3 linked regions of the Arabidopsis thaliana genome follow. The protein of the gene in region 3 interacts with the protein of the main gene of each other region in a pairwise test. Each region holds a gene or a part of one and is shown on either strand. Other genes may lie near its edges.

What was found.
Region 1: the proteins of WRKY27 (region 3) and AT5G48240 interact in a two-hybrid assay, tested with the Arabidopsis thaliana proteins (one large-scale study listed by BioGRID).
Region 2: the proteins of WRKY27 (region 3) and AO interact in a two-hybrid assay, tested with the Arabidopsis thaliana proteins (one large-scale study listed by BioGRID).

Annotation. Positions count from the first base shown.
Region 1 is NC_003076.8:19,555,083-19,565,286, forward strand, and holds AT5G48240 (Rrp15p protein), read left to right. Parts: upstream 1-4,160; 5' UTR 4,161-4,218; coding exon 4,219-4,662; intron 4,663-4,743; coding exon 4,744-4,845; intron 4,846-4,929; coding exon 4,930-5,011; intron 5,012-5,118; coding exon 5,119-5,138; intron 5,139-5,222; coding exon 5,223-5,283; intron 5,284-5,373; coding exon 5,374-5,438; coding exon of another isoform or gene 5,439-5,509; coding exon 5,510-5,595; exon of another isoform or gene 5,596-5,690; coding exon 5,691-5,745; exon of another isoform or gene 5,746-5,820; coding exon 5,821-5,916; intron 5,917-6,011; coding exon 6,012-6,071; 3' UTR 6,072-6,193; downstream 6,194-10,204. Other genes in the region: ACAT2 (acetoacetyl-CoA thiolase 2), read right to left, coding at 7-40; BBX8 (B-box type zinc finger protein with CCT domain-containing protein), read right to left, coding at 6,637-6,766, 6,851-7,152, 7,255-7,422, 7,510-8,031; AT5G48270 (DUF868 family protein (DUF868)), read right to left, coding at 9,662-10,204.
Region 2 is NC_003076.8:4,764,073-4,776,042, reverse strand, and holds AO (L-aspartate oxidase), read right to left. Parts: upstream 7,781-11,970; 5' UTR 7,301-7,780; intron 6,928-7,300; 5' UTR 6,911-6,927; coding exon 6,783-6,910; intron 6,604-6,782; coding exon 6,252-6,603; intron 6,123-6,251; coding exon 5,880-6,122; intron 5,798-5,879; coding exon 5,741-5,797; intron 5,657-5,740; coding exon 5,576-5,656; intron 5,201-5,575; coding exon 5,139-5,200; intron 5,064-5,138; coding exon 4,031-5,063; 3' UTR 3,890-4,030; downstream 1-3,889. Other genes in the region: AT5G14770 (PPR repeat protein), read left to right, coding at 340-3,162; MYB66 (myb domain protein 66), read left to right, coding at 11,305-11,449, 11,714-11,843. UniProt on the Arabidopsis thaliana protein: Catalyzes the oxidation of L-aspartate to iminoaspartate. Can complement nadB-deficient E.coli mutant. Plays a role in stomatal immunity.
Region 3 is NC_003076.8:21,406,819-21,416,480, forward strand, and holds WRKY27 (WRKY DNA-binding protein 27), read left to right. Parts: upstream 1-3,950; 5' UTR 3,951-4,177; coding exon 4,178-4,617; intron 4,618-4,697; coding exon 4,698-4,811; intron 4,812-4,907; coding exon 4,908-5,400; 3' UTR 5,401-5,708; downstream 5,709-9,662. Other genes in the region: AT5G52840 (NADH-ubiquinone oxidoreductase-like protein), read left to right, coding at 6,900-7,212, 7,780-7,976; AT5G52850 (Pentatricopeptide repeat (PPR) superfamily protein), read right to left, coding at 8,117-9,662. UniProt on the Arabidopsis thaliana protein: Transcription factor. Interacts specifically with the W box (5'-(T)TGAC[CT]-3'), a frequently occurring elicitor-responsive cis-acting element.

The sequences.
Region 1 (10,204 bases), 1.9 Mb from region 3:
TGTTACCTCTAGGATTCACAGATTCTGATGTATGGGCCATTGCTAATCTACAAAATGGTGTCAAAAGTCAACAAGGGACCAATCTCATTAAGAACCAGATCCCCTATAAACATTTGGGATCTATGTGGGATCATTTACCTTGATTCTTCAATTCCAGAAGAGAGCGCCGAATGGAGAGAGCTGAAAGAAGTGAGTCGTTGTGAAAATGACAGCGAATTCTACAATAAAACTGGAGAGAGAAACAGGGACAGAGGGTCCTATAAAAGAGGACGCTTTCTTGTGATGTTGTTGTTGTTGGTGAATCAGCGACGATAACTACGATGAAGAGCAACACGACTGCTATATGATCTGTCTTTCAAAAAATAAAATAAAAATTATCTGTACTTCAAACTCTTTAAATGTTTTAAAATAAATTATTGTTAAATTACTGTATCAACCCCTTCTTCTACATAAATCATCATTGATAGCAAATATATATTTGAAAATAATTGCACATGGAAATTGGAAACTTTGTTATTTACGCAAATCTTTATTTATTTTGTTTTGTGGAAAACGCAAATCCTTATTTAAGATATAATTTGCACAAAGAATCTTTATTATTTACACAAAATCTCTATTTTAAATATATTTATTTGTTGTTTGTTGACTCATTTAATATATGGTGGGTGGGTCGGCGATTGGGACGAAAGTTAAAGGGTAAACATTGGAAACAAATAATTCGGATGGTAAAAGATAGTATTATTCAATTTATTTTGATTCAAAGACGGGATTAAAATTTTGGGTTCTAAATTAGGTTCAAAAGTTTTATGTAATGAAATTCCACATTGGGACATGTATTTGGAGAACATTCTACTTTAAGATAAATATTTCTAATTTTTTGGGTATTTTGATTTTTGTTTGGAAAAGTAATATACTAAAATGGATAATACGAATACTCTCTCCCACACTTAATCCAAATGGATAGACATAATTGGGTGAGAAGGAAATCTAAATAGCTTTATTGTACATTCCCTTAATAGAAGTTAAACTCTTGAGTCTTCTTAAGTTAATAAATTTATTGTGGGACAAACTAAACCAAGATAGATTTTTGTGTTCATATGAGCTTGTTAAAGTAGAAATCTAAAATTGAAAATAAGATGGTTCATTAAGTTTAATTGTGCAAGAAATCGAAAAGAAGAAAATATTCAGATTGTCACCACGATTAAAGTGGTTCTTTGACTGGTCTCATACAAAGCAAAAAAAGAAGAAGAGAGAGTTAACACAAGAAGCAACTCCTAAAGATAACTTCCCTTCTTCTCATTATACAAATCTATATAAATCTATTTTAATGACAACCCTAAACATATGGGCTAATAAGTTATTTCTATGACAATGAGTTTTTATTTTGGACAAACTTCTATGACAATGATTAAGTGTTCCAATAACTGCAGTTTGTTTGACCAAGATTTTGATTCCAATTTTTAATTTTTATTCGATATGCAATTATTAAAATCCGACTCAACCCCAAATTACGACCCAAATTCAACTAACAAACACGAATGGGATGGAGATTGATTTTTTTTTTTAGTGAATTAGGATGGGGATTGATTTTCTGTCTGGAAATGGAATAGGTTGTTGGGAACGAAAAAGCAATCTACTAAATACTCTCTATTGTACCTTCCCTTGATACAAAAGTTAAACTCTAAGTTAATGAAATTGTAGTTAGGCCAAAGTTTTTTTTCTGTTTAAGGGCAAATTATAATTATTTATTAATTGTTTATCAAAAATAAAATATCGGTCAACGCATAATTCTGACAACCGAAGTAGAATGGTTATGGTATTGGCAACATAACTTATATTTATTTGTGTATGTCGGTATGTTATAACAATATATAGTGTAGCTAACAAGACATTTTTAAAGTATGCATGTGTGACTAGATGATGACATCTCTTTCGTATAAGTAGCAAACATTTATCCATTTTTGTGCTCATATAAACTTATTAACATAAAAATCTAAAATTGAAAATAAGATAGTTAGTTAAGTTTTATTGTGCAAGAAATAGAAAAGAATAAAATATTGGGATTGTCATCAAGATTAAAGTGGTTCCTTGATTGATCTCACCAAAAAAAAAAAAAAAAGAGACTTCTACGAGAGGCAACTCCTAAAAATACTTCTCTTCTTCTTATCACACAAATTATGAATCTGTTTTGATGGAAACCTAAACACATGGGTTAATGAGCTATTTCTATAACAATGATTGGGTTGCTCTACTAATTGTAGTTTGTTTGACAAAGATTTTTATTCCACTTTTATTTTTTGTTCGATAATTCCTTATCCAAACTTGATTTAAACCCCAATTTTGACCTGAGTTCAACAAATAAACGCAAACTTAGCGAACAGGATGAGACAAATTTTCTATCTCGAAATAGATTAAATAGTTATTAAAAACTTATTCTTTTTATCAGGATTCTTTTGTTCTATTCCTTTCACAACTTTGAATTCTTTGAAGCACTTTTGTATAAAATCACAATCATTTTGTTCAGATTTTGGGAGCTGGAACTGAAGTGTTGTTTCTAAAATCTTATCAAAGGGATGCATGTTGTATTGCTTTTGTGTCGCTTATTAAACTTTCAATTTGCACCCAAACGAGAAATAAGATCAAATCCTCTTGTTTTCATTTAGATTTGTGTTGACATTTGTGTTAGTTTCTTAGTGTAAAGGAACAAGTTTGTGTTGACATACATTCTTTCTTCGTTTTTTCAGTGGCAATTGACAGTTCCTTACTTGCTACTTCCTCTAAGATTGTCACTTACTTGATAAGATGAACAACGATGATGTAAGTTTCTTTTTTTTTTCTAATGTTATAGAATTGTATGATTGAGAATTGGATGTTTTTTCCTGAATTTAGAATTGGTCGGACGAAGAGTGTTGATATTTTCTTCAACTTTGTACTGCTGAGGAAAAAGGGAATAGAAGAAAGACGAGATTAAATATAACTGGAAAAGAGTCCATCATGAGATAGTTTGAAGAAAAATTTGGGAAGAGATATTCATGGGATAAACAATTCAAGAACAAGTATGATGTGCGTAGAAGAACATACACAAAGGTTAAAAACTTGCTTCATAACAGAACTGAAATTACATATGATTCTGTGTAAAGAATAAATATAATTTTTCTTTTCATTACGTTTACCTAAGTATTTAAGAAAGCAAGTAAACATACTTTTAATAACTAAAGGTCGCTGAAAATTCTAAAAATTGTAACGTGAATTCTCAAAACTGTAAAAACTGATTCTTTTTATTGTACCCTATATGTTAACGTTAATTCTCATAACTCTAAATTCTTATTTTTCCATCAAAATCATGACGTCAATCAAACTGTTAAAAGGCGAGATACAAATATAAATATTGTACTAATATTGTTAATCTGAAATATCTACTATTCAAACATATTTGTTTGAAGTATATCATATTACATGATACATTTTTTGGTGATGAATCAAATTGATGAATAAACATTTCAATATGAAATTTACTTGTTTTTGAATAATTATGTAATACTTTTTTTTATTAGTTATATTTTGTAAAAAAATATAATATTTTATTATAAATTTCATCAATTGACACATATTCATTCATGACAATTTTTTTATCAAGCTTGAGATCCTCAAAATGGTTTTATCATTAGTTATATTTAAAATTTTAACATTAAATCATAATAATATAAAAATTTGGTGTTTTTCAGTTTTCTAAAATTATAAATTATATTATTTTGGTATTTTGTATTTACCGTTATCGCACATGCTAGTTAACCAACTATAAAACTTCAACAAACGTAAAATTTAACCGCTAAATCAATCATTTAAAATATATGATAACTCTTAAAACCGCAACTCTCCGTTTCCATAAATTTCAGCAGTCTGCATTTGAACCATTCAAGCCTCGTAGTTTGGTCAAGAACCGATTACGCGGCCAAATCTTATATCCGACGCTAAGTCGCTAACCATGTGGAAACCATTATTTATCAATAGAAATCAAAACGACAAAACCCGACCTAAACCGAAATCTCAAATTCGAACCCAAATCCAACTTACAAACCTGACCTTAACCGGAAATCAGAATCCGAAAACATTTTCCCTTATAGCAAGGTTTAAAGAAAGCAATAACAAAACCCTATCTCTCGTCTCTTCTCCCCCAAACTCTCGCCGCCGTGATAACCCAAAGTTCTCGACGAAGCCATGTCTACCGGAGAAGAAGGTCACATGGCGATGGCAGATAGAGGCTCTAGAAAGAGAAGAGTCGGCGTTAAGAAAGGTACTAAAGCGGCGAGGAACAAAAAGCAAAAATCAAAACCTTCTACTTCCGATAGGTTTAAGGTTACAATGAAGAATCAAAAGCTATTTCAGAAGAGAGCACGAGATTACAATTCCGATGACGATGAAGAAGAAGATGATGAATCGAAGAAACAACCAGAAGTAACAATTCGTGAGAAGATCTTCTCTGATGCTAACATGGGACCAAATTACGAAGAGATTGGAGAAGAAGATAATGATGAGAATTCAGATGGTGAAGATCATGGAGAGATTGAATCTGGAATCACTAAGTTTGCTACTGATGGATGTAATGCTTTCAAAATCGCTTTTAAAGCTATTATGAAGAAGACTAAAGGAGATGATACATTGGTGAGATTTTATAGCAGATTCTAGTTTTGAGTTTTGATTTGGGAATATAGTGTTGAACTGTGTTGGTGTTGTGTGTAATAGGGCCCAGTTTTATCAGCACATAAGCATCTTATTGGAGAGAAGCTAGCTGAAGATGAAGCTGAAAAGAAAGCTAAAGGTCAAGCTAGAAAGGCTAAACATTTGGTATGAGTTTGGTTGTTGTGTTCACTATTCGTTTGTGTTCTTGTGTTTTAGATGATGATTTATCTTAACAATTGCTTTTTTAAGATTGCTGAGAAGGGACATGTTAAACCTGGAAGTTATTTGGATTCTCATGAAAAGATTCTTATTGGTGTTGCTACTAAAGGAGGTATTGTTGCTTTGGTTAAACTCTCTGTTTCTTGAGATTGTTTGGTTTTTTTTTTTTGTTTTAGTATTGACTCTTTTTTTCCTCTCCATGAACTTGTGGTATCACAGTGGTCAAGCTTTTCAATGCTGTAAGTTTGTTTCTATGTCTATTTTTGAGGTTTTTATTCTCCGGTAGTGATTCGTATGATTCTTAGTTTATGTTTTTCAAATAGGTCAACAAGGCTCAACATGCTCAGAAGGGTTTGAATCCTTCAAGGTCTAAAGACGCTAAAGGTAGGCTTAGAAATTGATCGTTGGCATGAATCCACTGTCTTGTTCTTATCTTCTAATTCTCGTTTTTTATCCTATTGGAACATCCATCAGTGCTGAAGAAGCGAAGAAAAGAAGCATTCTTGTCTGAGTTAGGGAAAACAAAAACAGACACCAAGGTTTGGCATAGTCTCCATATCTCTTACTCTCTCTCTTTCATTATGATTTATCTTGAGAGTTTATTCCTTAGCCGTTTGATGCACGTAGAAACAAGTTAGTATTCTGTCTTGATCTAGCTCCTATAGAGAGTCACGAAAAGAATCACCTCATGAGTGAGTGATAGATGTTAGTTATAAATCAGAAGTATTCTTAGTAAATTACTAGTAACAATTTTGAATGTTCTTAAAGCCTTCAACTTTGGATGAACATAGAAGCAAGTTAGTATTCTGTCTTGAGCTGGCTTCTATAGAGAAAGGATCACCTTCAGTAGCGAGAGCCGTTAGTTATAAGTCTAAAGTATTGTTGGTTAGTTAACTAGTGATATTCTGTTGGATGGTGCAGGCTCACAAATCTGAAGACGAAGCTCCTGTTTGGGCTCCTCTACGAGATAATTACATGTTAGCAAACCCAAAACTGAAGGACTGGGACAAGAAACAGGTATCTCTTCATTCTTATCCACAAATCTGGAATCACATAGCTTGCATACTGATTTATACTCTTTGATCTGAAACTTAAAATTGAATTGTCCGCAGGAAACAAGCGAGGGAGATGATTTTGCCGGTTTGTCAGGAGATGAAAGTTATGAAGACTGAAGAGTTTAAACTAGTAGTTAAACGAGCAAACTTTAATTTTGCCTTTGTATCATGCAAATTTTGTCTGATCAATATGAATGAATTCAGTTTTTTGATAGTGCAAAAGGATCCTGAAAGGTTGTGATTCTTGTGGTTACGCTTTTAGAAAATACACTTGTTAGTATCATTAACCAATACCGTAAATATAGAAGTGATGATACTCCAAACTTCTACATGGTTATTATTTATATGACGTAAAAAAAATATACATTCGTTGTTTTGCCTTGGCTACACAAATTATAATAGGACAAAATTTAAGGATCATGAACCTGAATCTGTAGAAGAGTTTCTAGTTTCACAGTCAAGTCATGATGCCAAATGACAGAAGAAGATAACAAACTTTATGCAAAAAATGAGGCAGAACTGCAGAAGCATGCGCCTTTCTAAGCAAGTATGACGCTTTTGAGGCGGAGAACTCGTGTTCCTTTTCAACCAATAATGGCTTCCAGATCCATCGCTGCCAATTAGTTGCATCTCTGTCTTATATCTCCACTTTGTGATCTTTCATTGTTTTGAGGTTTTATCCTCAGTAGCTTCTTGTTGGGCTCATCGGGTCGTAATCATAAGCTTCACCGGACTTGACAAACCGTCCTTTCACACGCCGTCTCACATCAGCCCTTTCTTTCCTAGAGACATACCTTACTCGCTTGTCAAACCTATTTATACAAAATATGTTAAATATTAGCTATAACAACTTTCAATGATGAATTAAATTCCTTTCTGTGTGCGTTTATACTTACTTGCGAGCCTTCTTCTTTTCCTTGTAACGCATAACAGCGTTATTACGTGTTGTTGCATGTGAGGAAGCAATAATGTCCTGTGCTGTTGGATGGCACCATGGTTGTGGCTCCCTTGAAAGCTGCTTCATCGATGACGCCCCACAATCTTGGAAATCTCCAGCATTACTTTCTCCAGTGATGCCAGAGAAGGAGATATTCGAATGTGCTGGCTTTGATGAATAGCAAATTATTGGCTCGGTTCTACAAGTCATGAACGAATCTGCAGATGCATTATTGCTTAATGCTGGCTGCTGCATTGAGCCCTGAATTGAGAAAACACACAAAAGAGCATAAGGATCACAGAAAAAAATCATCCTTAACTTTAGTGATACTAGTCTCAGATAGAAGAAGAAGGTTGACAAAACCTCATGAGCTTCATCTTTCTCGAAAAGACTTCCAATTCCACCGTGCTCGAAGAGATATCTTGATGAGTTGAAGGCTGAACCAAAGAGTTCTTCATAGTTCTCAAGAGCCAAGTCTACTTCATCTGAAATGAGATTTCCATTGAAGTCATCCTCACATACTCCAAGCTCCTACAACCAGTACAATAATAAGAAACATTTAGACGCTAGTTGCTTTCAAGATCTTACCACAATATGAAGAAAATCATGTTAAAATACCTTAGCCATTGATGAATTTTCTGGAACACTAGAGTGATCCATACCTTGTGCAGCCGAACTGGTTTCAGGCTGTTCTACATTAATTTTTTGGACACCAGATTTTTCTCCTGTGCCATCTTCATCTATAGTCATCAAACCCATTCCTTGCTCACAAGCGGATTCTTCAGCAGAAGAGATATTCAAATCCATACAGAAAGACCATATCGAGGATAATTCGGCACTCGAGGGACAACCAGAATAACAATTGATGGTTTGCCTTTTATGATGTGAAGTAGTAGTAGAATTCTTGCCGTCATGGCCTGACCAATCACAGTTTTGACATAGAGAAACCCTCTCATCACTACACCGGACAGAAGCTGGCTGTGCATTACACCTCTCACATACCAAAGTCCGCGAATGACGTTTCGATAGAGCATTAGCAGAATGAACATTACGGTCACACGAAAGACACAAACACGCTGCATCAGATCGACAATACACCATTGATCTTTGTTCACCACAGAAATCACACATATAACCCATCTTTCAACCAATCTCAACCGTCACACTGAAGAAAGCAAGCTCCTTTCACTAACAAAGAATCAAACCATTTTGGTTAGTCCCTTATATCATAATCTTAGAAGGAAAAAAACTTACCACAATACATTAAACAACTAACAAAAGCTTGAAACTTGGTATCGAAAGCAAGTCCAGAATTAGATAAAAGTCCAATCTTTTTAAACATCTCTTCCTCAAAGATTGTAACTTCCTATGGATGAGACTGTTCTAAATCAAAGACCAATCAAAAGAGACATCAGAGAAACCAATTAACATCGCAGAAAGACTTCAAATTTCAGATCAACATGTACCAATCAGAGAAGTGAGCTAAAAAATTATAGATTTCTTATTACAAATCCGAGAGAAGTGAAAGAAGATCCATTTCAAGATCAGTCAAAAAGGATTGAGAATCAAAGCAACCCTCACTAAAATAACAAGACAAGGGTTTTAAAGAGCTCACGTAGGAGAGATCGTCAAGTATCTTCTGAAGCAGAGACACCAAAAATGAATGACTTTTGAAACGAATAAGCGATGATTCCACAAATTTCTTCTTTAGCTGCGTGTGAAGAAGGGTAAAAGGAGAAACAGATGGATAGACAATGGGTGGGTTGTGTCTGCAAAGGGACATGTAGGCAGAGGCATGTGACATAAGCTGATAATTCTAGAAACATTGGGTAAAAAGTTCAAAAGAACCCATTTTCTAAGGACCCTAAAGATATTTTTATGAGTATGAAGTCACGCGCTCGCGTGTAGACAAAGAGCCGTACTCGCGATCTACAAGGCACAAGTGGAACTTTTCCGATTCTGGATTCTCAAAAGCGTCTTCTTTTAGATGCTTTAAGGCTTAAAAGCCCAATCACAACAATAGTCTTTGCTTTGACTTTACAAAAAACCAAAATATCTTAATTTGAGAGACGCACATGAATGAACAAAATATCTTGCCTAAAAAAGGAGATATTATTTTTGTAGGTGAAAAGAAAGAGAAAGATCAAATATAATATCTGGCAAATTGGAAACGTCTACACAAAAAAAGATATTTGTGTATCTGTAACACTGACACGCGCAGGTCGGTGTCCACTCTTACTTATATTATTCAATTTGACAAAATATTAGTACATTAATTTGAGTTGAAAACTTTTAATTTGAAACTATGTACACTAGATAGTCACAATGCTAGTGTCAAGTATTTCATTTTTTAAAGACTTTTCATTCTTTTTTTGCTTCATGTATTTTTTTTAAAAAGTCAAAACCTTAATAGGCTAATTTTTTAAAATAAAAAACAGCTTTAATTGATAACTAAATAAGCTAATTGTTTTTAATTGAATTTGTAAATAAATAGACTTATATATATAATGGCCTAGCTAAAGAAAACTAACTCATATCCATAAGAAACTTACCAAATTTTCTTATGGTTATTCGATTAACAAAAAGTATGGTTAAACTAATACAAACTTTTTGTTTGCAAATATCTGATTGTCCTAACTCTTGAGCAATCGTTTAGTTGGTATTTGGGACCAAACTAAGGTAGACTAAATTGTTAATTTCTAATTCTATTCCAACTTAATCACCAAAAGAGATTTAAATAAAAACACACACACTATGATATTAATAGTCTTCATTCAAGTTTCCAAGCATAAAGAAACAAACAAAAGTCATGCAATGGTCCAAAACCACTTGATGCTGAATTATAACGACTCAAAGGACTACTCCCTCCTCCGCTATCTCCTTCCTCCGCATCGCTAAAGCTCTCATCTACCATCGCTCCAACCGGAACAGGCTTAAACAAAAACAACCCTGAACTCGCTGCAGTCTCCGAACTTGCAAACAACCAATCATGAACATCATAGTAGACCATTACCGGTGTTCTATCCACCATCACCATTTGGTTTCCCCTAAATTTCCATTGTAGATTCTTCACGTTCACAACCACGATCCCATCAACGCTTATCCACATCTCTGGCTCCGCTGCTCCATTAGAGCTCTCCACCACCACTTCATGTTCCTTTCTTTGTTCGTCAAACCTTGCCCGAGTCGAAAACGTTTTCTTCCCAAATATGCTTTCTTTTTTAAAGTATATGAACCCTTCCACCAATGCCGGTCTTGACTTGGTCCGCTTATAAGCCTTTTGCTTTAAATCTCCCAACAATAAAACAACCTC
Region 2 (11,970 bases), about 17 Mb from region 3:
ATTTGCAACTTAACCCATTATTAATCTATCTCCGAAATAGCGTCGTGAAATAGATTTTTCCGAAATCTTATCTCCGAAATGTATGAAATATGTTTAAACGTTAATATGTTGGGCTTATTTTAGATATAGCCCAAAAACAGCCCATGTATTTAGGGCCGTTATTATTGAGTCTTTTAAAACGACGTGGTATTACCGAACTTAAACCTCGTCGTCGAGCTTCGAAACTCTTTTTCTCAGTTCACCTGGAAAACGATGCGTCGTCACAAGCAGACGCCATGAGAGCTTGCAGGAGTCTCTGGAGAAATTTGGAGATTTAGATGAACTCCAATCTATCTGCTGATGATAATGATAAGGATTTGGAATAACTATAAGGGTAAATACAGATTCTTCCTCTCAAATTGCCGCTCTTTCTCGTCAATCAAACGACCCCAAATCCCAGAAAGCGAAGAGACTAGCCTCTCGATCACACAACGAAGATTCGACCCAGATTTAGCTCCTATCAAGACTAGAGTTTACGTCTCTCTCTTCCATACTCTCTTTCGGCTCTATTTAAGCTGTGAGAGACTCTACGGAGCAGCAAGGACGCTCTCTGCGATGTGCACTTTCGGGGTTGTTCCGGATTCGCGTCTATGGAACAGTCTGATTCATCAATTCAATGTCAATGGTTTGGTACACGATCAGGTATCGCTGATTTACAGCAAGATGATAGCTTGTGGAGTGTCTCCCGATGTTTTTGCTCTCAATGTATTGATTCATTCTTTTTGCAAAGTGGGTCGTTTGAGTTTTGCAATTAGTTTACTTAGAAATAGAGTAATCAGCATCGATACTGTTACTTATAACACTGTGATTTCGGGTTTATGTGAACATGGTTTAGCTGATGAGGCTTATCAGTTTCTATCTGAGATGGTGAAGATGGGTATATTGCCTGATACGGTTAGCTACAATACTCTGATTGATGGGTTTTGTAAAGTTGGAAACTTTGTTAGAGCTAAGGCTTTAGTTGACGAAATCTCGGAACTAAACCTTATCACTCATACTATACTCTTAAGCTCCTACTACAATCTCCATGCTATTGAAGAAGCATACAGGGATATGGTTATGAGTGGGTTTGATCCGGATGTTGTTACTTTTAGTTCGATTATTAACCGATTGTGCAAAGGTGGAAAAGTGCTGGAAGGGGGATTGTTACTGCGGGAAATGGAGGAGATGAGTGTATATCCGAACCATGTAACTTATACTACTCTTGTTGATTCGTTATTTAAAGCAAATATTTACCGCCATGCTTTGGCTCTTTACAGTCAGATGGTTGTGCGTGGGATACCTGTAGATTTAGTTGTATATACTGTTTTGATGGATGGTCTGTTTAAGGCTGGGGACCTTAGGGAGGCTGAGAAAACATTTAAGATGCTTTTGGAAGATAACCAAGTTCCAAATGTGGTTACATATACGGCTTTGGTTGATGGGTTGTGCAAAGCGGGGGATTTAAGCAGTGCAGAATTTATCATAACGCAGATGTTAGAGAAAAGTGTTATTCCGAATGTTGTAACATACTCTAGTATGATAAACGGCTATGTGAAGAAAGGGATGCTCGAAGAAGCTGTTAGTCTTTTGAGAAAAATGGAGGACCAAAATGTTGTGCCGAATGGTTTTACTTATGGTACAGTAATTGATGGCTTGTTTAAGGCAGGGAAAGAAGAAATGGCAATTGAACTGAGTAAGGAAATGAGGCTGATTGGGGTGGAGGAAAACAACTACATACTTGATGCTCTGGTGAACCACTTGAAGAGAATTGGTAGGATTAAGGAAGTTAAGGGATTAGTCAAAGACATGGTATCTAAAGGAGTGACGCTGGATCAGATTAACTACACATCTTTAATTGATGTATTCTTCAAAGGAGGAGACGAAGAAGCTGCTCTTGCTTGGGCTGAAGAAATGCAAGAGAGAGGGATGCCGTGGGATGTTGTTTCTTATAATGTCTTAATCAGTGGGATGTTAAAGTTTGGCAAAGTCGGAGCAGACTGGGCCTACAAAGGAATGAGAGAGAAGGGTATAGAACCAGATATTGCTACATTTAACATAATGATGAATTCACAAAGAAAGCAAGGGGATTCGGAAGGTATCCTTAAGCTTTGGGATAAGATGAAGAGTTGTGGAATAAAACCGAGTCTGATGAGTTGCAATATTGTGGTTGGAATGCTATGCGAAAACGGTAAAATGGAGGAAGCAATTCACATATTGAATCAAATGATGCTTATGGAGATCCATCCTAACTTAACGACATACCGGATTTTTCTTGACACGTCTTCGAAGCATAAAAGAGCTGATGCTATATTCAAAACGCATGAGACGCTATTGAGTTATGGGATTAAACTCAGTCGGCAAGTTTATAACACTCTTATTGCAACTCTGTGCAAACTAGGTATGACGAAAAAGGCAGCTATGGTTATGGGGGATATGGAAGCGAGAGGCTTTATTCCTGATACTGTGACGTTCAATTCCCTTATGCACGGGTACTTTGTAGGCAGTCATGTAAGAAAAGCTCTTTCGACATATTCTGTGATGATGGAAGCAGGAATATCCCCAAATGTTGCAACCTATAATACTATAATAAGAGGTCTTTCTGATGCTGGGCTAATAAAGGAAGTGGACAAATGGCTGAGTGAGATGAAGAGTAGAGGTATGCGCCCTGACGATTTTACATACAATGCTTTAATCTCTGGTCAAGCTAAGATAGGGAATATGAAAGGAAGTATGACGATATATTGTGAGATGATTGCGGATGGGTTGGTACCGAAAACCAGCACTTATAATGTGCTTATTAGTGAATTTGCTAACGTTGGGAAGATGCTTCAGGCGAGAGAGCTATTGAAAGAGATGGGTAAGAGAGGAGTGAGCCCCAATACTTCGACTTATTGTACCATGATATCTGGTTTGTGCAAACTTTGCACTCATCCAGACGTTGAGTGGAATAAAAAAGCAATGTACTTAGCAGAGGCAAAAGGGTTGCTAAAAGAGATGGTTGAAGAAAAGGGATATATTCCGTGTAATCAAACTATTTACTGGATAAGTGCTGCCTTTTCTAAACCTGGAATGAAGGTTGATGCTGAAAGATTCTTAAAGGAGTGTTACAAGAAAAAGAATGCTCGTTCCTCAAATTCGTGAACGTGGTAATTCTGTTTCATCCTTCCAATACTAGTCTCCTCCTATTTTCAGTTGCAACTTTACTCAAATGTTTCATTTTCTCAGATATATACTACAGTAGCAGATTTGGCTCCAAACAGGACACCTAAGCAATTGTGAATCTGTGATTCCGCAATTGGGTTAGTGCTGGTAAGATTATGGTGCACCATAGTACTTCTTCACATTGTAATTCAGGATATCTTTATTCTTTGTTAAATCAAATTGCACGAGCCAAAACTATCTCCTGAAAATACCCTTTGAATTTCATTGTAGCAGAACGGCGATGGCAGCTGCAGAGCAGGCAAGACTTATGATCTAGCTGGTTTCTGGATGTAACTAGTAACTAGGCTGTTCTAAAGCGACATTGCAGAAGAGATCTCTGATTATTAATGGATGTGCCTTTGTGCAGCCTTCTCAGATCACACCCTGGTCTAGTTGAAGAAGACAGGAAGAATGAATTCATGTTTGGTCTGGTCATGGAAGCCATACCCGAGCTTGGAGCTCGTGATTTCCTCAGGAGAAGGATAGAAGCTTTTGGAATGATTTACTCAGAAAAAAAAGGAACCGAGGATATGGAGTCAGTGAACACAAGACTGTTCTCAATCCTGCTTCTTGCTTGGGAAATCCACACTCACAGTTGTTTCTTTCATTCAGAAAGTCATCAATAAACCATAACAAAGGAATTGAAATATGAATTACCAATATGATTGATATCTCAAATGAATAATTTATTTCCTTTTGTATTACAGAGTGTCAGAATCAGAGATTCCTTTTGAGATCCAAATTTTTTCAAATTGATACAATAATCAGAGAGGTTTGGATTCAAATAAGAACAAAAACTCCTGCAGTTTTAGCAATCAATAAGTGAGCTGCTACTTATATTCTGTAACCGCCTTGAGCTCCAACTAGCTGTTGTAGGAGAAGACGGTAGAATAATCGTCGGAATCCGCTTGCTTTCTTCCACAAAAGGAAAGTCTGTCATGTAATGAAGACCTCTGCTTTCATGTCTAGCTAACGCGCTGCTCACCACAAGCTTAGCGCAACAGAACAAGTTTCTCATCTCACAAGCTTCAAGAGCTACCACTGTTTGTTCCCATCCATGTTCAAACAAAAATGTTTCCCATTTTGCTTCTAGCTCTGCGATTTTCCTCTCAGCAGTGGTGAGCCGAATTGTCGATCTGACAATACCAACATACTTCCACATTACCTCCTGAAGCTCTCTTCTCACTTCTTTAGTCAAAGCTATAATCTTTGCTATTACTTCATCTCCTAGCAATCTAGCTGTCGCAACAACAGGCCTTGTCCATTTCTCTGATGCGCATACATCAAGTCTTGTGCGTTTCATGAGCTCAGTCGAAGGCTGAACAGCCCGTCTCGCGAAAACCAGAGCTTCTAAAAGCGAGTTACTAGCAAGACGATTTGCCCCGTGGAGGCCTGTACATGCTACTTCACCTGCTACAAACAATCCAAGGACATTGGTTTCGCCTTGTAAACCAGCACGAACTCCTCCACACATGTAATGGGCTGCAGGGACAACCGGAATAGGCTGACGGGTGATATCCAGACCGTGTTTAAGACATTCAGAAGCTATGTTCGGGAAATGGGCAAGAATCTTTTCTCTTGGCTTATGGCTTATGTCAAGTAACACATACTTTTCGTTTCGTTTCTTAAGCTGGTCATCAATACTTCTTGCAACCACGTCTCTTGGAGCAAGCTCAGCTCGTTCATCGTAAACAGGCATGAATCGCTCCATTCCTAGATTATAGAGGATGCCACCATCACCTCTCACCGCCTCGGTGATGAGGAACGCGTTTTCCCTAGCAGTTTGTAGTTTGATGGGAAGACCTTCGTCGGCTAGGGCAGTAGGATGAAACTGCACAAATCTAACCAAAAACAAATACAAAACATAAGTTTATTGTCAACAAGTTTCTTCAGTCGGTTTTTCGGTGTTCACTTACTCCATATTTGAGATCACAGCTTGAGCTCGATGAGCCATCGCCATCCCATCTCCAGTAGCCACCTATACAAAAACCATGTCGATAATTAAAATGGAGCATAATATATCACTTTTAGAGAAATATCATTGCGACTAGCACAACCGAATTTAGCAAAAAAATGTACTCTATGACTAAAATCTCTTTGTTTCTGCAACTGTTTGAACTATTAAATCTAAAACTCTAATGCAGTATGTTTGTGTATACCCGTGATAATTTCGACATTTTCTTTTGTATTCAAGGGATAAATCACATTACTTAATCAAAGTTTCATTTTTGGATATTTCCCATAAACACACAAAACTGTTGTGTTGATCCTGCACATTCTTTCTTCTGATAAAATTGGTAAAATGAAACTTCCATAGAGCTTTGTTAAAAAGAGAGTCTATAGAAAATGTTACCAGAGGATTTGTGGTTGATGGATAGATATGCCCAGCTCCACCTGAAGCAAGCAATGTCACCTTCGATATAAAGCGTACTACCTGAAGAAACATGAGTTTTTTTTACATTACAATCTAAGATATAAGGTGAATGATCAAACCACCAGAAACAAGATCTTTGTGTACCTCATTAGTTTTGATATTCAAAGTGTCCACACCATGACAAACTGTGTTCAAGCCATCCTGTTAAGATACAAAAAGATATGATCTGATAAGCCAATTGATCATATATGCACATGTGTTTTTCAAGGGTGTGAAGTGGAACCTGAGAAGTGAGCAGATCGATTGCAAAATGGTGTTTGAAGACAGATATGTTGGGATCATTAAGTACAGCTTCAAGTAAAGCTCTCTCAATCTCTCTTCCTGTCATATCAGCAGCGTGAACGATCCTACAATGCGAGTGACCACCCTCTCTGGCCAAATGCAAATTTCCATCCTCGCCGTGATCAAATGATGCTCCCATTGCAATCAGTTCACGAATCCTTTCAGGCCCTTCAGTACACACAACCTGAAAAAGAACATTCAGATACAGAAAAGTGAGACAGGTTTAGACCATTACAAAATGCTTATGCACGAGACTAACACAAGCACTTATCAAACAGTTTTGAGGTAATGATCAGCAACAAAGGGAACTTACTCTTACGGTTTCTTCATCACAAAGATGAGCACCAGCGACCATAGTGTCCCGCATATGACTTTCAACAGAATCCAAAGGGCATAACACAGCACTAACACCACCTTGAGCATAGTTTGTGTTACTCTCATGAGGCTCATCTTTGGTAATCACTGCGACTGTTCCTTGCTTTGCAACTTCTAAAGCATAACGCAGACCCGCTACTCCACTACCAATCACAGTGAAATCATAATACTTTGTTGAAGAAGATACCGAAACAGCCCTGATAGGTTTTGAGGTCTCACTGATGGGGGAAATACCACGAGAGTAACAACCACATCTCTCAGCTTTTAGAGCCTTAAATACCCCACTTGACCTATATGCACACAGAGATTATAAAAGTTTGAGTCCAGCATGAGAAACTATAGGTCTAACTAGTTAAAGTTCTACATGAGAACAAAGAGCAAAATCATAAATGAGAAACATGAACCTCAAAATGCCAATTGCTACACAAAAGGGACAAAATTTGGGATTAAAGATTAAAAGAAGTGATACCAAGAGGGCTCTTTGAATGGATTTGCCATGAAAGTAGAAGCAGAACTCCATGAAAAAGCTTGTCCCCTGTAAACCTGCCCCGCAAGATAGAAATTATGAATGTTTCCAGTAGAAACATGAGCCGCCATTTCCGACCTTAAAGCTCCTACAAAAACATGAAGATTGTTGTCATAAGAAAACATCATCAAAACAAAACAAGAAACATTCTTTCTGTACAATATAAAATCAAAATGCATAGATCCATCATCCATGATGCTCAAAATCCAAAATTTGATTGAAGAACGATGAGAATTGAGGACAATGTGTTACTCAAAATCCAACAATAACCTTTTTTATATCGAAACTTCTGAAATGAACAACGATAGAAAAAAAGACATAAGAAATATCGCAACCGTTGTCTGAATTCTGGAATTTAGGAGCAGAGGAAAGAATTAAAAAAAAATGTGTAGACTAGATCACACAAAATTCAGAATCTACGTTGAAATGAAACCAAGTAATGAGAAACGCAGAAATCTTACGGAATCACGGGAGGGAGCTCTCTGATCTAAGCACGAAACGGAGAACCCACGCGAGTGTAGATCAATAAAACGTGATTCAGACTTGATTAAAAAAACGACTTTTCGCAAAGAAACAATCAAAATTACGACGAAGAAGAAGAAGAAGAGGAGAAGGAAATGAACGAAGACAACACAAATTCTGGTAAGAGTGTTTTATGTGGTTTGGTCGTCGAGAAGAGTCCTTGAAATTCGCGCCTTCGTTTTGTGTATGGGAGCCTCCCCCAAGTGGTGTTGTTGGTCTTTCTTTATTCTTCTCTTTTGTCACTTTTTATGTCTTTGGGATCTTCATTTTTCATTGGCCTTCTTCAGTTTTTCTTTTATCACATAAAAAAAAAAGTACTTCTATGAAATAAACTTTTAATAAAAAATGGAATTTATTACTGAGTTAAAAAAAATTGGAATTTATTACTAGGCGTGGATTTTTAAAAAATTAGTGTATAAGATGATAATTTACTTATAGAATATTTCCCAGCTTTCTTCTACAAATATACACATTAATAAAGCCATTGACCCTACAAATATTCAAGTTTATTAGCCCTGTGGTTCATAATTTTTTAATATTAAGAACATTTATATATAAATAACAACGGTAGCTCAAGATGTGTGACCATGATTTTCCAAAACTAAAACTAAAAAAATAAATAAAGCAAATTAAATTTAAAAGAATTCTAACAACTTGTATAGAACTTTAAATATGTGTTCATACATGCACCAAGCATGACCGACTAGAAGAATCATGGAAAAAGAACATTCACTTTTCCATGACTCGTGGCCAATGCAAATCTCCAACGGCCACAACTATTTATTTCTATAACTATAATTTCTGGAAAAAGAAAAAAAAAATGGAGAAAAACTATTTGGATTTTGGAGTCTTCTTTTGAGTCTTTTTTTATACTTTTGATTTGTAAGTGGTGGCTTCTGAATTTTCCATCAGACAACTGAAAAAAACCTAACGAATAATAAAAATCAATAATATAAGACCGAATTATGATAACCATTCAAATGACAACTGAAAGAAAACAAATTAATTAAATAATAAAATTTCAAAAACCACGAATGCAATTTAAAAGGGAAAATGTTGGCATTTTTATGGCTATCATAATTTCCTTCTTTTCTAACTAAACATAGTGCTAATGGTTTGCTTAACTAATCAGGTATAACATCCACAATTGATGACATCCTCATTTGCTTCTATCGGAATAAACTGATTATCATTTGCTTCATCATCTTTAGACCTATGCTATTTTGGACCAGTCATGGTGTTGATGTATGCATCAAGGATGGCCTTATAACTAGAATCATGGGGAAAAAAGAACAATCACTTTTCCATGAGCCTTGCTAAATCTCCAATGGCCACAATTATTTTATTTTCTACAAAACTTACTGGAAATCACTTTGAGTCTTTTAGTTTTGACTACCGTTTTTAAGGGGAGAGATGACTTCTTCTGGATTTTTTATCGGACAACAAAAACGAATAATTAAAATTGGGCTTTTGAAAGGCGGGCCCAATACTGACCTAAGATTTTGCATGGAAATAAGCCCTGGATTTTCCAGAGGCCTAAATTAAACCCGAATCATCATGCAATTAGAATTGTTCAGCCCATAAATTTTTAATTTTTTCACACACATGAGCCGATGGCATTTCGTTGTGCTTCTTACTGAATTTCACGTCACGACTAAAACCTAGAAAATCAGCGAAACACATTAGCAAATACTAATGTTCGTCTCGTAGTTAGTCAATATCTTATTGGTAAAACTCGCACATATGTAAAAGAGCAGTGTCCTAGTTGTTCCTTCTAATGATATAAGATCATTTCCGCAAATCAAATTGCAGTTTCACCACGTAAATTAATGATAGAACCTCAACAATATAATTAGTATCAATAAGAATTAGCTATATTTATCATATTATATAATTAACATAAATAAAGTCTATTTAAATATATCATTTAGTTCGTAGCATAAATCATTACATGATTTTGAAAAGATGGTAAACTTGTGAATCACAAATTCCTTGGCCATGTATAGAATATCAAACCTGATATTAGAATCAAACAAAATTAAATGATAAGATTGTGAATAAATGAGTGTTAGGTACTTAGGTCCATCAAATTCCTCAATCATACATTCTACGACATAATTAATTATAACATTTATATGTAAAAATACACACTCCTCTTATATAGTTATGACAATAAAATGTTGTATATAAAATTACTACCCCTCTTATATATTGCCTCAACTTCCAGCGTTAAGAGTTTAATATGTCTAGAATTTTAAATGTGCCAGCTATATCAAAATATCATTGCCTCTGTTTTTCTTTCATTAGGAAGAAATATTTTTTTTAAAAAAACCATGTACAAGTATCATTGGATATGTGATATGCCCAAATAGATCATTCGAATTTTGTATGCAGAAAACTCTAATTCTTAGTTATGGATGCAAAATATTAATTATGGATCTTATTATTATTGTTTGTCATATTGCTGATAAGATTACTGATATAGTCAATTACTGAAAAGAAAATCATTTTGTTAATCTTGAATAAATAAGTCAGCAAAACAAGATGTACAATAGCAAAAATATCAACAAAATAAATTCTTTTTTTTCAAACAAAGTTAATATTTGCTTACAACACAGATTGGAAATTTCAAATATCCATCGCACATGCTATGTGACAGAAAAAAAATATGAACAATATACGTGATTATAAATTCAATAATCAATAGTAATAGTATCTATACGTAAATTAAAGATATTTGGTGGGGGCACAGAGATCAAGAAATTTTAATGATAAGAGAAGGAGCTTCTATTCTCTCTTTCTTTCTAACAATAACACTGTTTTTTTTTCCCCGTGAAGAATCCTAATCCCAAGAGAGTCAAAGTGTCAAACCATCTTCTAATTGAATATCTCCCCTAACTACAATTCCTAACTCTCATGCCACTAATCAATTACTTATTGTACATTTTTCTTTTTTTAATTAGTAACCAAATTTACAAAATTAACTCTAGGAAATCGTTTAATCCAAGATTCCCGGACGTTGGTCCAAGGGTATCACTCTACAAAATAATTATAAAAAATGACGAGGCATTTCATTTTCTAATCAATGTATTTTCTGATAAAGGATGTCATATAAACTTGGTATCTCATAAATAAAGTATCTAAACTTCAAAACGAACAACTACTATTACTTGATGAAAATAACAACACTATTATAATTAATGGTTAGTTGAGAAACAATACATAAAAAATTTGATGGAACTATGAGAGCCAGCCAGTTACTATCCTTCTCACCTTCCAATGGGTTGCGGCAAGAACCTTCACAACCTCCTTTATATTTGCGATGTGTATCTAGTCTTTTGCAATGGTCTCAAAACACTTTGGGTTTCATAAGTTTAACTATAATGGTGTCCCTGATATTTTCGGTCTAATATCTCTTAAAAAAGAAAAATACTTATGATTCATTTCAATTAATCAAGGTTCAAGAAGATATATAAACACTAGCCCTGACACATGAAACTTCGATGCCGAAAAGCTCTAAGATCAAAGCCGAATCTTTTTAAAACATACACGTGATTTTTGTGTCTCCCAAGACCATCTTAACCGGTCCATGTTTTCATGTTTTAGTTAGAAATCTAGATTAAGTCATTAAACTAATCCGTATCAGTAATTACCAGCTTGCATCTCAGAAGTCCATTATTATTTACATATCATCATCACATGCTAGACACAATCAATACCTTATGTCAATATCTAAAATAAGTCTATAATCATTAATACTTGTATTTATACCAATAGTATATCGTTTATTAAATATTATTCATACTTTATACATAAATATTCCACTAGGTTCTGAACTTGTAGTACTACTATTAATAACTCCGTCAAATAACTACTCAAAAGAACCTCTTTATCTCTCTCGTTTTATGATCTCTCTCGTCTATCATTCAAAGAAACAAAAAGAATGAGAAAGAAAGTAAGTAGTAGTGGTGACGAAGGAAACAATGAGTACAAGAAAGGTTTGTGGACAGTAGAAGAAGACAAAATCCTCATGGATTATGTCAAAGCTCATGGCAAAGGTCACTGGAATCGTATTGCCAAAAAGACTGGTCTCTTTCCTCTCTATCTCTCTCTCTAATCGTATTGACATAATTTATGAATTCTTTGTCACATGATTTTCTTTTACGAATGGTTTAAAGTTAAGGTTCTATATATTATATATGTTATTTTAGATTTAACTTTTAATCTATGTTAATAGAGTCCATATATCGCAAAAGCAACTTGAATCAGGATATTTATCTAGGGTCACCTTTTTGTTGTTTTTATTTTTATGAATTAAGGTCCTCAGTTAAATAATTGTATATGTGTGTTAGGTTTAAAGAGATGTGGAAAGAGTTGTAGATTGAGGTGGATGAATTATCTCAGCCCTAATGTGAAAAGAGGCAATTTCACCGAGCAAGAAGAGGATCTTATCATTAGGCTCCACAAGTTGCTTGGTAATAGGTATAACTTCATTTGCTCAAAATTAGTTTCTCTACTCAATTAATCATAAAAACAGCTATTTCTATCCATTTTGTATCAAGTTAAATAATCATAAATATTCGTGATTGTCTTCACAAACTTGCTTGGT
Region 3 (9,662 bases):
GGTCCTGTCTTCACCTGATTACACCAATCCCGAGTTGATTTAAAACCATTAATACTTGTAGTTAAATCATTGAGGTTAACCATTTATGTAGACTGATCTATGCAGGTTGTGGCTTAAATATTATCTAATGTTTTATAGAACCACTAATGATACAGTAATTTTATGGATTAGGACATTTAAAATAACGTGGAAAACATAAAATATCCTTTTAGTTGTATTTGAATGAAAAAAAAAATGGAATTTTAATCAATTGTATAGCACATCACTGCTAACGAAAAACAATTTTTTTTTGCAAGTTTTCAATAAATTCAACAATATGTCCTTAAAGATTGTTCTTTCTATTTTGTAAAAGGTTCAATTGGATGATAAATTAAGCATGTAAAGAAAGAACATCTTTAAGAAAAGCAAAGATTTCATTCAACAACAACAACCAAAAGCAAAGAATGGATACGAAATTCCGAGTGATAATAACTCCAAATATCTCAACCAAAACATTTACGGAAAATGTAAATGATATTTTTAGGAATTGGCAAAGAATCCATCCCATGTTGTCGTTTACCTCACGTGTCATGTATGGACCCATCCCTCTTCCTCTTATTGGTTTTGTTAATTGATTCCATAAATATCGATCTATCAAACCGTAATGGTGCATTGTGATGTGTTATAGAATATATATTGTCTGAGAAGTAACCATCTAATGGCTGTTAGATTAGTATTTTTTTTTTTCCATTGAAAGTCACTAGCCAAACGGAGAAGTTTGTAAATGTCGTTTTATGTACATAAATTCTGCATTATGTGTTTTCCATAATTTGTAATACTGTAATTTGTGTTAATACATATTATTGTTGTTTAGTTTATTTGAGTTTTAATTTGTATAATGCATGCATATTGTTGATAGAAAAAAAAAATATATATATATATATATATATATATATATATATATATATATTGTTTAAAATTGGGGTAATTTCGTGTTGATATGACCAATAAATCTGATTTAGAAGTAAAATTAATCCTATCAAAAACGATTCATTGGCTTGTAAAAGTATACATTAGTATTCAGATTTATTTAGAAAAATGTCATTAATATTGAATTGTAGAATATATCTAAAGTACTGATATTGAAATTGAGATGAGTAGAGCAAACTTGTAGTACTCATATATCAGAATGAGTTTTGTCACATAAATAAAGCTTGCTGCCAAAAAAAGAAGGGTTAAATCTTTAAAACCCCGACCTAAATAGTTGTTTTATCTAGAAGAGACAAGTTAAAGCGTTATATTAATGGCATCTTGAATACTATATTGAGGCATTAAGATGTCTAGATATTTTTGAGATTTAGCTGAGGAAATCTATTTTCGTCTTCGATATCTATTTTAAGATCTTCATAATCTTAAAATTCAATCAAACTCTTTAGAAAGGCTGTCGTTACGCATTTCTTTACATTTAAAAATAAATGTCTTTTATACATATAAATTAATTTGTGGTCAATGACATAAAATGAAACATAAAACAAAATGAGTGAATAATAGTGCAAGTGTGGGTCCTTACTCCTTACGATAGGATTTTGAACATTATTTTATACTCCATAAGTGTTCTATTATGAAACACATAATTAATATATAATTACAATTGTTAAACCAAATTTTGTTATACAATATTCACATTTAACATAAACCAAAATATTATTTAAATATAAAGAAAGCTAAACTCGAATTGAAATATAGTAGTTTTAAATTTTCGTAATCAGCTGTTAAGCCTGTAATTTGACAAGAGAATTCTCATAGTATACAGCAAAAAAAAAGACAAAATCTCTCAAGTCCCAAATGAGCAAAAATACAAATAGTGTCAGACAAACGTTTTAAAAACGTTGAGAATTTTCTTAAATTATTTTTGGAAGTATACAAGAATATAATTTTTTCAAAATGATTTTGAATTTTGGAAATTTTGTTTAGTTACGTCACAATAATTTTGAAATTATTATTTTTTTTGTCGGCAACTGTGATTTTGAAATTAGTTTCTTACCAACATAATTATTTTCTTATAAGAATGAAGGAATTGAATAAAACAAAAATACGGCGAATAATATTACATGTTGATTGCTAACAGAGAAGAGTAAATCGCACGGCCCAGAGGCACCTCAGATAAACGGACGAATCAGAAAAGAGGAAGCCAATATATACGGAAGCAGACAATCATTACCTTTCATCGCAATATGACTCACTATCCTGCGCTGTTACTGCTACTGTACGCCAAAACAAATGCGGTCCCTACCTTTGACTTGGTTTAAAAAAGTCAAAATTAAAGCAGCTTTTGTGGGATAAGATTGTTGAGAGAGAGGACAAGAATCTGTATCTAAATTCCACTTACGAAATTACGAGAACTCTTTGTGTCTGTGAGATAACAAAAAAATTAAAAATGGAAAAAAAAATAAAGTAGAGAGTGACACAAGTGCTTTGTTTGGTTCGAATATTATTTGTACCATTACCATTTTATTTTCTAGCACACAATTTTGCAATTTTTCTCTCTTTTTTTGGCCTAATGATTTGAGATATTCGTGCTTTCTTACCTTTTAATTTGTAAGATCTTGTGAACATTTTAAATCATACAAATATCTCTTAAATCAGTGATGAGATTCGTTTTGTGAGGAGGAGGAATCTAGAATTGATCTTGTATATATATATATATATGCAATTTTAAACCATTCAATTCTTGGATTCTTTTTTTAAAAAACGTCTAAATTGTTGGATTCTTTTATGAGAACTCTGAACAATGTTACTTACGTTACGTACGTTTAAAACAATTTAATATTTCTTCTTGTTCTTGTGTATATCTCAGCATTGACATTCACGCTAAAAACAAACTAATTATGTATATTTTGTGTACCGGAGAAATGTTGTTTGGATAACTACCAAGTTGTAAAACATACTATAAGCTACTGCTCAAAATTTTGTACTATAAAGTATATTGATTCAATATCATCACAGAATGATGTTTAGTTTGTCTCCAAATACAAAAATCATGGATTTATAAACAAAAACCCTGAGAAAAAAAAACATGTTGGGTTTAATAAAACATGGAGATAAAAGTCTAAACTAATAAACCTAGCGGGTATTTCTTTTTCTTAAAAGACATGATTAATATTTTCTTCGCATCTATATTTTGGAAAGTGAAAAAACATACTACATACATTAGTTAGATAAATCTTGTTTTCGCAAGAAAATCTGATAGTACTTGCTAAAATTTTATTATTTTCCTCGTTATTTTAATGAGATTTGAGAATTGTAAAACTAGATTTTTGAGGGCTAGTGGTCGTTTTATAACAATGTTAGTCGCGTCACCTAGTAACCTGACTTTACCGAATAGTTAATAATTTTCTTAAATGCCAACATACCAAATCATTACCAGTTTACCACTCAACCTTAGTCCTTAATTGATAGGAATGTCCATTGTTTGATGAAAAAAAAAAATGAAAAAAATTGATAGGAATGTCCATTAAGTTAAAATTCTTACAATACATGTTAGTGTTTTACTGTTTGCTGACTGAATCTTAAATTGATTTACCATTAGTGGTTGGTGGTAAATTTGAAATTTTGTCTTACATGCTTTGTTTGTTCAGAAAGACAGAAACCATGAAGCATTTTCCTAAGGTATAAGAACATTATCGTAAATCTGTTTTCTAGTTACACAGAAACAAACTTTCCTCTATCATTATTTTATCACTCAGCAAACTTAAATCATTGAAGTGAAAAGACAAATTGATCAACCTCATTTGTAAAATCTATTCACAATATATATGTATAAATTATTAGTTACCGAATCTTATTGGTACTCTTTCAAATATTAACAAATATACGATGATGGAGTACAACATAATATATGATTTTTTGAAAAGAGTATAAATAAGTGAAAAAGAGGAAAGAAAAGAAGATATGAAAACCCATCAAAAGTTAAAAAAATTTCTTTTTGTCAAATGTATAAATAATTGAAAAGAATAGGCAAGTCAAGTGCTCTCTCTCCCACACCCATCGATTCCTCTCGGACACTGCCCCAATCTCTCTCTCTCTTTCGACAAAGAAAAAGTCAGCGCCGTCCTTTACGCCATAGTTTGTCTCCTCCTCTCTCTCCTCCTCTCACCAACATAATCAAAGAAGCTTTCCTCACGAATTCAAGATCGCCATGTCCTCCGAGGATTGGGATCTCTTCGCCGTCGTCAGAAGCTGCAGCTCTTCTGTTTCCACCACCAATTCTTGTGCTGGTCATGAAGACGACATAGGAAACTGTAAACAACAACAAGATCCTCCTCCTCCTCCTCTGTTTCAAGCTTCTTCTTCTTGCAACGAGTTACAAGATTCTTGCAAACCATTTTTACCCGTTACTACTACTACTACTACTACTTGGTCTCCTCCTCCTCTACTTCCTCCTCCTAAAGCCTCATCACCATCTCCCAATATCTTACTAAAACAAGAACAAGTACTTCTCGAATCACAAGATCAAAAACCTCCTCTTAGTGTTAGGGTTTTCCCACCATCCACTTCTTCTTCTGTCTTTGTTTTTAGAGGTCAACGCGACCAGCTTCTTCAACAACAATCCCAACCTCCCCTTCGATCTAGAAAAAGGTTTGTTCATATCGAACTAAACACATCTCTTAGTTCAAAGTTTCTTTCTTTAATTATCTTTTTTGTCTTGTTGCTTGTAGAAAGAATCAGCAAAAAAGAACCATATGTCATGTAACGCAAGAGAATCTTTCTTCTGATTTGTGGGCTTGGCGTAAATACGGTCAAAAACCCATCAAAGGCTCTCCTTATCCAAGGTTATCATCAATCTTTTTTTCAAAATTTTCTCAAGAAAAAAATATTAACATTTTTTTAATTAATGTGTTAATTAATCGAGTTATTACATAAAACAGGAATTATTACAGATGTAGTAGCTCAAAAGGATGTTTAGCACGAAAACAAGTTGAAAGAAGTAATTTAGATCCTAATATCTTCATCGTTACTTACACCGGAGAACACACTCATCCACGTCCTACTCACCGGAACTCTCTCGCCGGAAGTACTCGTAACAAATCTCAGCCCGTTAACCCGGTTCCTAAACCGGACACATCTCCTTTATCGGATACAGTAAAAGAAGAGATTCATCTTTCTCCGACGACACCGTTGAAAGGAAACGATGACGTTCAAGAAACGAATGGAGATGAAGATATGGTTGGTCAAGAAGTCAACATGGAAGAGGAAGAGGAGGAAGAAGAAGTGGAAGAAGATGATGAAGAAGAAGAAGATGATGATGACGTGGATGATCTTTTGATACCAAATTTAGCGGTGAGAGATCGAGATGATTTGTTCTTCGCTGGAAGTTTTCCATCTTGGTCCGCCGGATCCGCCGGTGACGGTGGTGGATGATGAAAACGAATAAAATCTCAATTTACAATTTACAAAAAGAAAAAAGTCAGTTTTTAATTATTATTTTTGTTTGTTAAAACTTGACATTTATTGTGTTATAAAAAAATATATAGAAGAGAAGAGACAGAGAAAGAAAGACTAATCATAATTGTTCTTTGTTTAGATTCATAGCTAAAATTAGTAAATTAGTCTTGATTTAATCATTTGGTCGATTTGAATTGACATTGCATATACCAAAGCTGTTTCTTGGCTCCAAATGTATAAATCATCTTTTCATTTTTCCTATTTCATTTATGAATTTATCTGTATTACTAAACTAGTGATACTTTAAATACCAAAAAGCAACAAATTTTGTCAAACCCTCTATTTTTAGTGTTGTAAAGGTCAATACGGGTTGACAAAAGAAAAATAAATAGAGGCTAATTCTGAAACGAATTAAAGAGTTAAGCTAATTTAATGTGCCTAGTTAAAAAAAAGTTGGCAGCGAGAACCATGCTAAAAAAATCGTATCGTATTATTCACTTTCATTTAATGTCGAGATAATTAAAAACAAATCGGTACAGTTTAGTGTAATAATTGAGAAATAATCATGTGGGAAGAGAAGCTATAGCTAGACGACAGTTAATACGGTTCAGACCGGAAACAACGAGTCCGGTTTTCGCTGGCTTTAATTTCACGAGACAAGACCCTAAATCTGGCGTCTTTAGTCCCACTTGTGCCTTGCCTTCTATTAAATGGTCAACCTTTTTTTATTATAAAGTTTTTTTTGTCGTAATCCGAAGCGTCGGTCAAACATATTTTATTTCATTATGTCCGTCGTATTAGAAAAATCAGACAATTAAACGTCTCTGGAATTAACTAAAGTAGGGTCGTTATTGCTATAATTTAAAATAAGGCTATGACGATTTAGATGTTACGAATTTTTTTGTATAAATATCATATACTATGGTCGGTCCAGATTCTCATGACGAGAGATGGGCATGCAAGTTGTTACCTCTCTCGATTGTCTTATCTTTATTAGGTTTTTAAAAGTGTTTTCTTATTACTTTAGTGAACAAGCATTTAATGTACCAAAAATATCAAAACAAATCGAGGAAAAAAAGTGTTTCTTTTTTAGAAAAAAAAAATATCCAACGTAAGAGTTGGCCATATTTTCTAATGGTCCCGACTCACAAAAAAAAAGATATTTTAATAGATAAATAAATTACAATTGAATTAAAATTAATAAGAAGTAAAAAAAGATAGAATTAAGTAATAATTATGCTTAAAAATCAAGATCCATCATATGTCAATCACATTAATGCTAAGCAACAAACTCCTATCAATTACTAATAAGGCCCATTATTTTATAATTAGGCCCATTAAATTCAATTTCGGCCCATAGTTTCTTTCGCTTTCTCCATCTGACAAGTGAAAGTTGACACTGTAAACAACTACAAACAACATTTCTGAGATTGCGCCGGAGTCAAGGAGAGGGAGAGAGCGATCCAACGGTTGAGATGTTTCTACGGGCAATCGGACGGCCATTATTGGCTAAAGTGAAGCAGACGACGGGGATCGTCGGGCTTGACGTTGTTCCCAACGCGAGAGCGGTGCTGATCGATCTCTACAGCAAAACCCTAAAGGAGATCCAAGCTGTGCCGGAGGATGAAGGGTACCGTAAAGCGGTGGAATCATTCACGCGCCAACGTCTCAATGTGTGCAAGGAAGAAGAAGATTGGGAGATGATTGAGAAGCGGCTTGGTTGTGGTCAAGTCGAAGAGCTTATCGAAGAGGCTCGCGATGAGCTCACACTCATTGGGAAAATGATTGGTTCGTACTCTCGTTGCCTATATAGATTGAGAACAATTGGAATATAGATTGATTTGTTGCGATAATCACTCAAATTGAGAAATGGGTTTTGTAATTGAGAATCTGAATCCTGAGGCTTTGTGGATTGTTAGGTTGCAAAATCTGAACACTGAGCATTGCAAAGGTGACCCTTTTATTGGGCTATTGAGTTTAAGTGTGTGTTGAAAACTGATATACAAGTAAGGGAATGCAAAAGTTTAGGTTTTTATATAATTTGCTAACTTTGGCTATGAGTGAATGGTTGCATAGTTCACTTTAGTTTGGAACGGCTTTTGCTTTCAATGTAGGTGTGTGGTCATCTTCTTGCTTTGTAGTTATTTGTACATTAGTGTTATTGCTTGTACTCTCTTTTGAATCTTCATAATCATGTGAGCGAGGTTACAAGTAGCTATTGTTTGAGACTTATCACATTCTTTGGTTGCAATATACTTCCAATGGTTTTAGAATGATGGCTTATTTGTTCTGATTTTGTCATTTACAACATGTTCTTCACCATGGAGTTGTAATTTGTTCTTTTTGCATATGCAGAGTGGGATCCTTGGGGTGTACCAGATGATTACGAGTGTGAAGTGATTGAGAATGATGCGCCGATTCCAAAGCATGTTCCTCAGCACCGACCTGGTCCTCTTCCTGAGCAGTTCTATAAAACGCTTGAAGGTCTAATTGCAGAGTCTAAAACAGAGATCCCAGCTGCTACACCCAGCGATCCGCAGTTGAAGGAGTAACTTCCAGTTTTTACATATTGTGTGCTTGTTGCTTTTTTGGCTAGAGTTGTTTCCGAATCAGTGGTCAAGCCTCTGAATAAATTGCTTAATAATTTTCATAACGATAACAATGTCTGTTCACAAATGTTTTATCACTCTTATTAAACAAATGATGTTTCTTCCCTTTTGCAAGAACATTCGCCATTCTTAAAGATATGAACCTGATTCCCATCTCTTACAGTTATTTTCTTATCGACTAACCGAGTCAAGATGGACACGAACTCATGGCAGTCCTTACACAGAATTTTGTTCTTAACAACATGAACCGGGGCTTCTGGTGACGCATAGATAAAACCATACACAACAGCTTGTTTTGCACTGTGAAAGCTTGCGTTTTCATTACCTCTGTATGGTGAACCAAACCTTTTGATCTCTTCCTTTATCGATTCTATCTCTGCGTAAATCCCATTCGTTTTATCCACTCTAGTAACATCCTCACTGACAAAGCTGTGAACTTTTCCTTGAACCTCCACAGTGCTCTTGCCTAGCTTTTTACTCAAGCGCTTCTCAGTCATCAAATTTCGAGTCTTTTGAGCTAACTCTGGTTTTCCAGATTCGTCGTATAGGTCAGCCAAAAGAATGTACAAGGCTGGATCAGATGGTGCAAGTGCTAAGCCTTTGTTAGCCATATCTTCTCCTAAAGACAGATTTCCACGGTATCTACAAGCTCTCAACAACGTTTTGAAGATCATAGCATTTGGTTTTAAATGCATTGTCTCTACAACTCCTGTTGCTTCCTCTAGCCGTCCAGCACGACCTAAGATACCAACTAGATGAACATAGTGCTCTACCTGTGGCTCAATGTTATAAATCTTTTTCATTACTTGGAAATACTCAAGGCCCAAGTCAGTCAATCTTCCATTACTACAAGCAGAGAGCAATATCAGGAACGTTACTGAATCGGGCTCGGTTTCTTTCATCCTCATCTCCTCAAATGCAGATAGAGCAGATGAAATAAAACCGTTTGATGCCAAACCAGATACCAACCCGTTCCAAGAAACCACATCAGGCGTAGCTATTTCTTCAAAAACTTTCTTTGCATCTTCCAAGCTACCACATTTACTATACATGTCAACGAGACTATTTAAAACCGAAGCCGCACCAGAAAACCCGGATTTCACGGAGTAACAATGAAGATGTTTCCCAGTTTCAAGAGCGCCCAAGTTGGCTGAAGCTGAGATAAACCCGGGTAAGCTTAACTGATCCATTCTGATTCCATCACCATACATATAATTGATGACACTCAGTGCCATTTCATGCTTGCCCAACTCATTAAACCTTGTTACCAAGCTCGTGTATGTGATATTATCCCTCCTTTTCATCGACCTAATCACATTCCAGGCATAATCCACCTTCCTCGAGCTGGCATATGCATCGACAAGTGAATTCCCTACTACCATTTCACCATCTACGTGTCTTCTGAGTAGATATGCATGAATCTCTAATACCCGCCTTACATGTCTCAATTTGCTACAGGCTCGGAGAACACCGGATAGGGTAACAACATTGGGTTCTACCTCTCGTTTTACCATCTCCATCAGCAGTCCAAAACAATCTTGCACGAACCCGTGATCAACAAGACCTAAGATTAACGTTGTCCAAGAGACGACGTTTGGTGAAACCATTGCTCCAAAGACTCTCGAAGCT